Arabidopsis thaliana: one gene and its partner. The protein of the gene in region 2 purifies or fractionates together with the protein of the main gene of each other region. This does not show direct contact. Each region holds a gene or a part of one and is shown on either strand. Other genes may lie near its edges.

What was found. The genes of interacting proteins can lie anywhere in the genome.
Region 1: the proteins of PSAT (region 2) and CSY3 fractionate together in Arabidopsis thaliana (co-fractionation; one large-scale study listed by BioGRID). This does not show direct contact.

Annotation. Positions count from the first base shown.
Region 1 is NC_003071.7:17,802,313-17,807,647, reverse strand, and holds CSY3 (citrate synthase 3), read left to right. Parts: upstream 1-1,574; 5' UTR 1,575-1,656; coding exon 1,657-1,887; intron 1,888-1,976; coding exon 1,977-2,157; intron 2,158-2,259; coding exon 2,260-2,345; intron 2,346-2,552; coding exon 2,553-2,657; intron 2,658-2,773; coding exon 2,774-2,836; intron 2,837-2,956; coding exon 2,957-3,066; exon of another isoform or gene 3,067-3,217; coding exon 3,218-3,337; intron 3,338-3,408; coding exon 3,409-3,484; intron 3,485-3,578; coding exon 3,579-3,652; intron 3,653-3,741; coding exon 3,742-3,862; intron 3,863-3,977; coding exon 3,978-4,075; intron 4,076-4,156; coding exon 4,157-4,280; intron 4,281-4,375; coding exon 4,376-4,516; 3' UTR 4,517-4,807; downstream 4,808-5,335. Other genes in the region: AT2G42780 (transcription elongation factor B polypeptide), read right to left, coding at 5,002-5,167, 5,257-5,335. UniProt on the Arabidopsis thaliana protein: Peroxisomal citrate synthase required for the fatty acid respiration in seedlings, citrate being exported from peroxisomes into mitochondria during respiration of triacylglycerol (TAG).
Region 2 is NC_003075.7:16,902,133-16,906,227, forward strand, and holds PSAT (phosphoserine aminotransferase), read left to right. Parts: upstream 1-1,926; 5' UTR 1,927-2,072; coding exon 2,073-3,365; 3' UTR 3,366-3,590; downstream 3,591-4,095. Other genes in the region: CYCB2;2 (Cyclin B2;2), read left to right, coding at 1-46, 124-277, 360-497, 587-676, 755-976, 1,062-1,160, 1,239-1,417, 1,487-1,634; SERAT3;2 (serine acetyltransferase 3;2), read right to left, coding at 3,623-3,663, 3,760-3,819, 3,913-3,986, 4,084-4,095. UniProt on the Arabidopsis thaliana protein: Involved in the plastidial phosphorylated pathway of serine biosynthesis (PPSB). Catalyzes the reversible conversion of 3-phosphohydroxypyruvate to phosphoserine.

The DNA of each region.
Region 1 (5,335 bases), on a different chromosome or scaffold from region 2:
CCTAGAAAAATTAATGTTAATTGAGTTTCAACTAACCATTTCAAATTTGTGTTAAGCTAATTTATTTATCTTAATCAACTAACGTAATTTGTTTTTAAACTGCTATTTGCTAAATTCATTATGTAGGAGTAGCCGAGTAGGACCCTGAATGGTACGCTCAAAAGAGGTAGCAGCGTCATCGAACTTAACGTTAGGACACCCTATGATTGATCGTATCAAATGACCAAAATTAAAAAGATGATTGAGTAAACCAATTAATTTTGGTATATAAACAATCTTTTTATTATCGTACACATTTTTGGGATGTGATGTGACTAATGAAAGGTTTAAATATATTTAAACATGATAAACGCAGAAACCACCATATAGAGGAGAAACTAGAAAAATATAATTTGTCAGTCATGTGTCTAAATCCACACCTACTTTTTTCTCATGCTTTTTTTCTTCCTGCAAATATTGCATTTCCTTTGCCTCTCTCACACATTTCCTCTGTCACTTTCTTTTTTATATATTTTTATTTCGGAATTCCATTACCGTGAAAAAGCTTTGTTTACAACAGTAATTTTGTTTCAAATGCTTTCTTGTTGTCTATTTTTATCAATTACTATGCCTCTGCTTGAATAACTTAAAAACACAAGTGATGTTAATTGTGTTATTGTAGATCCTATGAACAAATTTAATTTATAGACGTGTGAAGTTATAAATGAAAGATATCATTGAGTGAGTGATCACCGTTGCAGATAATGTTTAAAGAAAAAAAAAAGGAACAGTTCCTTGTTCATGTCATCATGTGTTGAAAACGGAAGGAGGGAAAGAAAAATCTATCACTCTCAGATTCAGAGCCTCACGTGGGGTAAACTTAGAATTCTATTTTTAGGTACGAATCAAAATATACGACCCGTCGCTTTTAACATGTCATTTATTATACCTTTCACTCTCATTTCCTCCATGCTTTTTTTTTAAAACGTAATTAGACCTATTCATTCTCCATAATATAATACATAAATACAACTTATAAGATTAATAGCCTCGTACACTAACATTAAAGAGTAAATAACCGTTTGTATTTTCCATCTTTTGATTAATGATAACTATAATTTATGAAGAACATCCATAAACTCATGAGTTTTATTTTGAACGCAACATCCATATTTAGCTTTACATTCATTTTTTTAATAAGATTTCAGTCATAGTTCGAAAAATGAATGTTGGGTTGGTTCCGATGGTAAAGCGAGCCGTATCAACAAAAAAGGCCCAAATAAAAAGTGGTATACTGTTGGGCCTAAAGATGAATATACAGAAGCCCATATTAAGACAATTCGGCCCATTCAGCATTGCGTAGCAATCGAATTGATATTTAGCAAATCGAGGAAAGCAATTGACTAACTAGATAATACTGATAAGTGGGTCCCACATAATTCTGACAGCTTAGAGATGGAGAAGATCATCACCGTTAGTCCAAGTTGGGTCAATAAGGCTTACGCCGTTGGATATCAAGATATCCGTTAGATCGCATACACGTGGATACTGTTCAATACTCCTGACCGCAGGGGATAAGACACGTGTTATATTAACGAAGAGTAAGAATGGTTTCTAATAATTTCTTCGCTCCCTTTCTTCTTCTTCTCTCCTTCTTTGAATTTTGATTTTGGTTGAATGGAGATATCAGAGAGAGTTCGAGCTCGATTAGCTGTTCTCTCAGGTCATTTATCGGAAGGAAAACAGGATTCTCCAGCGATCGAGCGATGGTGCACGTCGGCGGATACGAGTGTCGCACCGCTTGGATCTTTGAAGGGAACACTGACGATCGTCGACGAACGCACCGGAAAAAATTATAAAGTTCCGGTCTCAGATGATGGTACCGTTAAAGCCGTTGATTTCAAAAAGGTTTAACCCTTTTTCTAAATGACCATTTTCCTATCACTGTGGGATTTTGAGCTGAGAATTTGCTTTGTTGCGTGTTGTTTGGCTTGCAGATAGTGACGGGGAAGGAAGACAAGGGGCTTAAGTTATACGATCCAGGTTACTTGAACACGGCTCCTGTTCGATCTTCGATTTCTTACATCGATGGAGATGAAGGGATCCTTCGTTACCGTGGCTACCCAATTGAGGAAATGGCTGAGAACAGTACTTTTCTGGAGGTGGCTTATCTTCTCAGTAAGTGTTTTACCTTTTAACCTTACTACACAATTTCAAGTGTTATGTGTATCGAATTGGACATTGATGAAAAGTTTTCTCCTTTACTATATTTTCTGGCAGTGTATGGGAATCTGCCCTCTGAAAGTCAGCTATCTGATTGGGAGTTTGCAGTTTCTCAGCATTCAGCTGTGCCACAAGGTGTATTAGTGAGTCTCTAATCCTTGGTTGATGGATTTCAATTTCGATTTGTAAAATGGAGTTAGCCTGTTCTTTACTAGTAGCCTATTTTCTTGTCTGGTCGAACAATAATTTGTCAAGACTGTTCTATACATGTTGTTCTGAGGATTGTGTGCTGTACTCAAAGCTATATATTTCTCATATCTAACTCCACTTACTTGATAACTTTTGTGCAGGATATTATACAGTCTATGCCTCATGATGCACACCCAATGGGAGTTCTTGTGAGTGCAATGAGTGCGCTTTCCATCTTTCATCCTGATGCTAATCCTGCTCTTAGGGTAGGTTTAACCTTATATTACTTCTCTAACAACATGTCAGGCCTTGTCACTCGCTAGTTTTAGCTCTTTTGAAATTGTCCGTATAAACATGTTGACTGATACTCTATTGGGTGCAGGGCCAGGATATTTACGATTCAAAACAAGTTAGAGATAAACAAATTATCCGCATTATTGGAAAGGTATTTTTTTGTTATCAGTGGTTACCTTACTTCTTCCTATATTGTGTCACGCATAAACATATTTGGACTCTGAATTTCATGAAGATCTGATGCAACTAAACGTGTTTGCGATTTGTGCAGGCACCAACAATTGCAGCAGCTGCTTATCTGAGGATGGCAGGAAGGCCTCCTGTTCTTCCTTCAGGAAACCTTCCTTATGCAGATAATTTCCTCTATATGCTTGATTCCCTGTATGTCTCTGCTATCTCTTTCTTCTTGAATTAGTTAGAAACTCAACTTTTAGATTTAGTTTTAGATCTTGACGCTTCAGAGAACTTGAAGCCTAGTTATTTTTTTACTGTGTACATAACTTGTAGCGTGCCATTAACACACTTCTTACAGGGGAAATAGATCCTACAAACCTAATCCTCGGCTGGCTCGGGTGTTGGACATCCTCTTCATACTGCATGCAGAGCATGAAATGAACTGCTCCACCGCTGCTGCTCGGCATCTTGCCTCTAGGTACTTATCTTTGGTTGGAATCTTAGTGACCTTGATAGGAGATATATTGATTAGGAAATGTCTTCTTGTAGCGGTGTTGATGTCTACACTGCTGTTGCTGGAGCTGTGGGAGCGCTTTATGGTCCACTTCATGGTGGTGCAAACGAGGTATGCTATTTATTCTCATGTCTTCATATGTTACATCTTCTGATGTATTTTCATGCTCCATGGTCTTTGAAATTCATGTCTTTGGTTCCATTAGGCTGTGCTTAAGATGTTGTCAGAGATTGGGACTGTTGAAAATATTCCAGAGTTCATTGAGGGTGTGAAGAACAGGTAAAATCAATTCTTGAAACTATATGCTTCCGTTTCCGAGGTTTGTGACAAGTCTTTTCATTAAAATTCTCATCCCTTTGACATCTTAGGAAGAGGAAGATGTCTGGTTTTGGACACCGTGTGTACAAAAACTATGACCCTCGAGCTAAAGTCATCAAGAACCTGGCTGATGAAGTATTTTCCATTGTTGGAAAGGATCCTCTAATTGAGGTACGCTATGTCCACGAAGTTCAAGCTTATACTACAACTTGATGCCCACCTTTTCGATTTAGTGTAATTTTTCATGTTTCCTTAAAGCCAATGTGTTTGATTCTGATGTCTGCAGGTTGCTGTTGCACTTGAGAAGGCAGCTCTCTCTGACGATTACTTTGTTAAGAGAAAGCTGTATCCAAATGTTGACTTCTACTCTGGATTAATATACAGGTAAAAGTTTGAATGCATGTGCAGTATCCATAACTTCCTCTCAACTTCATCTAAATCTGCAAACTTGGACCATTACAACAGGGCAATGGGATTTCCACCGGAGTTCTTCACGGTCTTATTCGCGATTCCTCGCATGGCTGGATACTTGTCACATTGGAAAGAGTCACTGGATGATCCTGACACCAAGATCATGAGACCACAACAGGTATAGTTAATCTCTTTCCAAGAATAATAAGAGAAAGATTTTTCTTTGGATCAATTTGAAACTTGGATGGTTCATTGGAATATTAAATGTTGCAGGTGTACACAGGCGTGTGGCTGAGGCATTACACACCAGTGAGAGAGAGAATAGTGACGGATGACTCGAAAGAGTCAGACAAATTGGGTCAAGTCGCGACTTCAAATGCATCAAGAAGACGTTTGGCTGGATCTTCAGTTTAGACGTAGGCCCTTTTAGGGTCCATACTATACATCAAACCACACCGCAAAGAATAAAAGAGATTGGTTTCTCTAGCCTAAAGCTAAGATACTTGATCATACTCGAAACTTAGATTTCTCATTTTGTAGGCACAATATAGACTTGATCTATATTTGCTTCAATCCATCTTCTAAGGGTGTTTGTCCGCCTTGTTTGTCTTCTTATCAGAACGTGTTTATTGTATAAAATGATTTATGGTTATGGATTATTACTCTAATTTCTATATCGAATGCTTCTGCAGAGACGTTTGTTGTGAAATATCTCGGCCAAAGCAACAAGTAGAAAACAAAGCACTTTATTAAATCATTGTAAAAACTTTTGAAGATCTATTGTTACAAACTAGGATATCATCAAGCCAGAGTTTCAAAACTCGGAGTTCTTGAAACTTGAAGTAGCCATGTAAATGATACACTCGAAGAAAAAATGATCTGTAAAAAAGCTATATAAGTTACATTACATGTTTTTGTCTGGTGGCTGCATTTTTTGAAGTTGAAGGAGCAGTCCCAGGAAGGCCGTTGATCCTCCTTGGAGGTAGCTTTTGTCCACCAGAAGGAACGCTTCTTGAAGTTGAAGGCGCATTAGCGGATAAGCCAGTCCTCTTTGGAGCAGATATACTATACAAGACATGATCCGTCAAACCGATCAAGTTTGGGGGATAAAGAAGTGGATCCATATAGATATATAGATACTGAGGACATGTTACCTGAAACTCTTCTGAATCGTGTTCTTTTTAGTTTCAGTAAGATTTCGTCCACCATAAGGAATGCTTCTTGAAGTTGAAG
Region 2 (4,095 bases):
GCTGTGACAAGAAGAAGCTTGATTCATTGCATCCGTCAATTTCAAGGTTAATAAAGTTTAAAGCTTTCAAAAACGTTTCTTTTGCTGAGAAAGAGAGATCTGATGTTATTTGAATTTCTGCAGATCTCAGGAAGAGACTAAGAAGCTGAAACCAAGTGGAAACGAGTTTGGTGATTGCATATTCATTGATGAAGAAGAGGAGAAGAATGAAGAAGTTACATTGGACCAACCTATGCCAATGTCATTGGAGGAACCATACATTGAATTTGATCCAATGGTAATTAACAATCACTTTTCAAAAGATCTTTAGCTTTTTTCTTTTAATGTGAATTCTAAAGAAAGTTTTTTGATTTGGACAGGAGGAAGAAGTTGAGATGGAGGATATGGAAGAAGAACAAGAAGAACCAGTTTTGGATATAGACGAATACGATGCAAACAACTCTCTTGCAGCTGTTGAATACGTCCAAGATCTTTACGATTTCTACCGTAAAACCGAGGTACGGTTTCTTAATATGTCTCTGAACCAAAACCATAAGATTTTGAATTCGGACTGAGACAATTTTCCATGGATTTTGGTAATCTGCAGAGATTTAGCTGTGTTCCTCTAGATTACATGGCGCAACAGTTTGATATATCTGACAAAATGAGAGCAATACTTATTGACTGGCTCATCGAGGTATATTCAAGCACCTCTCAATGGTAATGGATTATTGTATATATAGAGGCTAATTAAGAAGCTTCTTGGATGTTTCAGGTACATGATAAGTTTGAGCTGATGAACGAGACATTGTTTCTAACAGTCAATCTGATAGATAGATTCTTGTCCAAGCAAGCTGTTGCAAGAAAGAAGCTTCAGCTTGTTGGTTTAGTTGCATTGCTCTTAGCTTGCAAGTACGAAGAGGTTTCAGTACCTATTGTTGAAGATTTGGTAGTCATTTCGGACAAAGCTTATACGAGGACCGATGTTTTAGAAATGGTAAAATAAGATTGTTTCTTTCCAAAAACTCGGTAAAAAGATTATACATTTGATCTGATTTCAATAATATAATCTTTGTGTGCAGGAGAAGATTATGCTTAGTACTTTGCAATTCAATATGTCGTTACCAACGCAATACCCTTTCTTGAAGAGGTTCCTCAAGGCAGCTCAATCAGACAAGAAGGTAAAGAAACAAATCTATCAATGTACACAATAATATAAATGGATTGTGAATTACAAACTAATCTTGTTATTGAAACAGCTTGAGATCTTGGCGTCGTTCTTGATTGAGCTTGCTCTTGTGGACTACGAAATGGTTCGGTATCCACCATCGTTACTCGCCGCCACTGCCGTGTACACAGCTCAATGTACAATCCATGGCTTCAGTGAATGGAACAGCACTTGTGAATTCCATTGTCACTACTCTGAGAATCAACTCCTGTAAGTCTCTTTTACCCATTAGCACCTATAAAGACTCATCTTTGTAACTAATATGGGTTTGTTTTACAGAGAATGTTGTAGAAGAATGGTGAGACTACATCAGAAAGCTGGGACTGATAAACTAACAGGAGTACATAGAAAATACAGCTCCTCCAAATTCGGATACATAGCAACAAAGTATGAAGCTGCACACTTTCTTGTGTCAGATTCTCACTAAAGAGTGGAAAATAGTAGTTTGTGTATAGCTCGCTGCTAACATTTTCCCTCTCAATTTTTAATTACAAACGAAATAAGTTCAAAACATTCCTCTGATTTGATCTGTAACAAGTCTTTCTTTTATTGATATCTCAGCAATAAAATTCTCTTATACCAATCATATTTTTTGTCAATAGTTACAGATTCATAGAATATGTATGATATAAGGATGAGAGTTTTGATTTGAACTCTTTTTCTTCTACAACTTTAAATAAAACACATTGGAAATGAGTCTTAACTATACTAACACCGCAGACAAAACTAGTACCACCTAACACAAACGCTGTCGTTTTCAAGCTACATTTATATATCTCCCACCAACTCTTTCTCAGATCTTTTGTCTAAGTAAAAGCGAAAAGGGCAACAAACAAAAATAAACTCGGAGAATCTCACAACAATCATGGCGGCTACGACGAACTCTTTCCTTGTCGGAAGCAACAACACTCAGATTCCTGCTTTGAAACCCAAATCATCATCTCAATCCTTTCTTCACCTCAGCAAACCAAACACCGTCAACTTCGTCAGCAAAACCAAGCCCGTCGCTGTTAGATGCGTCGCTTCAACGACTCAAGTTCAAGATGGAGTTAGATCCGGCTCCGTCGGATCCCAAGAACGTGTCTTCAACTTCGCGGCGGGTCCAGCCACTTTGCCTGAGAACGTTCTCCTAAAAGCTCAGGCGGATCTATACAACTGGCGTGGATCTGGCATGAGTGTGATGGAGATGAGTCACAGAGGCAAAGAGTTTCTCTCGATTATACAAAAAGCTGAATCGGATCTTCGTCAGCTTCTCGAGATTCCTCAGGAATATTCCGTTTTGTTCTTACAAGGTGGTGCCACTACTCAATTCGCTGCTTTACCTCTCAATCTCTGCAAATCGGATGATACAGTCGATTTCGTTGTTACTGGTTCGTGGGGTGATAAAGCTGTCAAGGAAGCGAAGAAGTATTGCAAGACTAATGTGATTTGGTCTGGGAAATCTGAGAAATACACAAAGGTTCCATCTTTTGAGGAGTTGGAGCAAACTCCGGACGCTAAGTATTTGCATATATGCGCCAATGAGACTATTCATGGAGTTGAGTTTAAAGATTACCCTGTTCCTAAAAATGGGTTCTTGGTTGCTGATATGTCTTCTAACTTCTGTTCGAAACCTGTTGATGTATCTAAGTTTGGTGTGATTTACGGTGGTGCACAGAAGAACGTTGGTCCATCTGGTGTCACAATTGTGATCATTCGTAAAGATTTGATTGGGAATGCTCAAGATATTACTCCTGTGATGCTTGATTACAAGATTCATGATGAGAATAGTTCGTTGTACAACACGCCTCCTTGCTTTGGGATTTACATGTGTGGTCTTGTGTTTGAAGATCTGTTGGAGCAAGGTGGATTGAAAGAAGTGGAGAAGAAGAACCAGAGGAAAGCTGATTTGCTTTACAATGCTATTGAAGAAAGCAATGGCTTTTTCAGATGTCCTGTTGAGAAATCAGTGAGGTCGTTGATGAATGTGCCTTTCACATTGGAGAAGTCTGAATTGGAAGCTGAGTTTATCAAGGAAGCTGCTAAAGAGAAGATGGTGCAGCTCAAAGGACATAGATCAGTGGGAGGTATGAGAGCTTCTATTTACAATGCAATGCCTTTGGCTGGTGTTGAAAAGCTTGTTGCTTTCATGAAAGATTTCCAGGCTAAGCATGCTTAGTTTTAAGGGTTTTTGCATTTTGGTTATGTTTGTTGAAAGATGATAAGCTTTAAAGATGATAAGCTTTAAAGCTTATGATTTGTTTTTTTTTCTTCTTTTCAGAATGAATAATGTTTAACAATGTATCAAAATCTTTCTCCATCAATTGGAAAAACAAGTTTGTTAACAAACAAAGAGCTTTGTTATTTGTTTGAAGTGATTATGATTGATGATGAAAACCGCCTTAAAGAAGCTGCAGGTGATCTCATGTTCTCTTTTTAATGTCTCCTTTCCCTGCAACTCCCTGAAACTGAAGATCCTGTTTTAACAAAAAAGCAAAATTCAATTCAGATCCCAAACTATACTCAGATATATAAATACACAGTTCACTGTAGGAATTAAGAAAGTAAGTTACCATTTGGTATTGTCTCTCTATAAGCAACAGCTACATTTTGAAAGAACTCTCTGGTAGCATCTGCATATTCAATCAACTAGCATATTGGCACACTACGAAAGCCTGAGCAATGGAGAACAAAATCAGAATACTATTTTCACAATCAAGACTCACCATGCTCCATTGTCATAGATGGATCTTGCTCATCAACAAACCCGATGAGTTTTGCTGGATTTCCAGCCACCATGCTTCAGAAACGCCCGAGAGAAAATGTCAATTTGAGCAATGTTCAAACAAAAAAGCTCAACGAGATTGATATTTAGATGCATGTCAGTGGTTTCATACCTATGCGAAGGA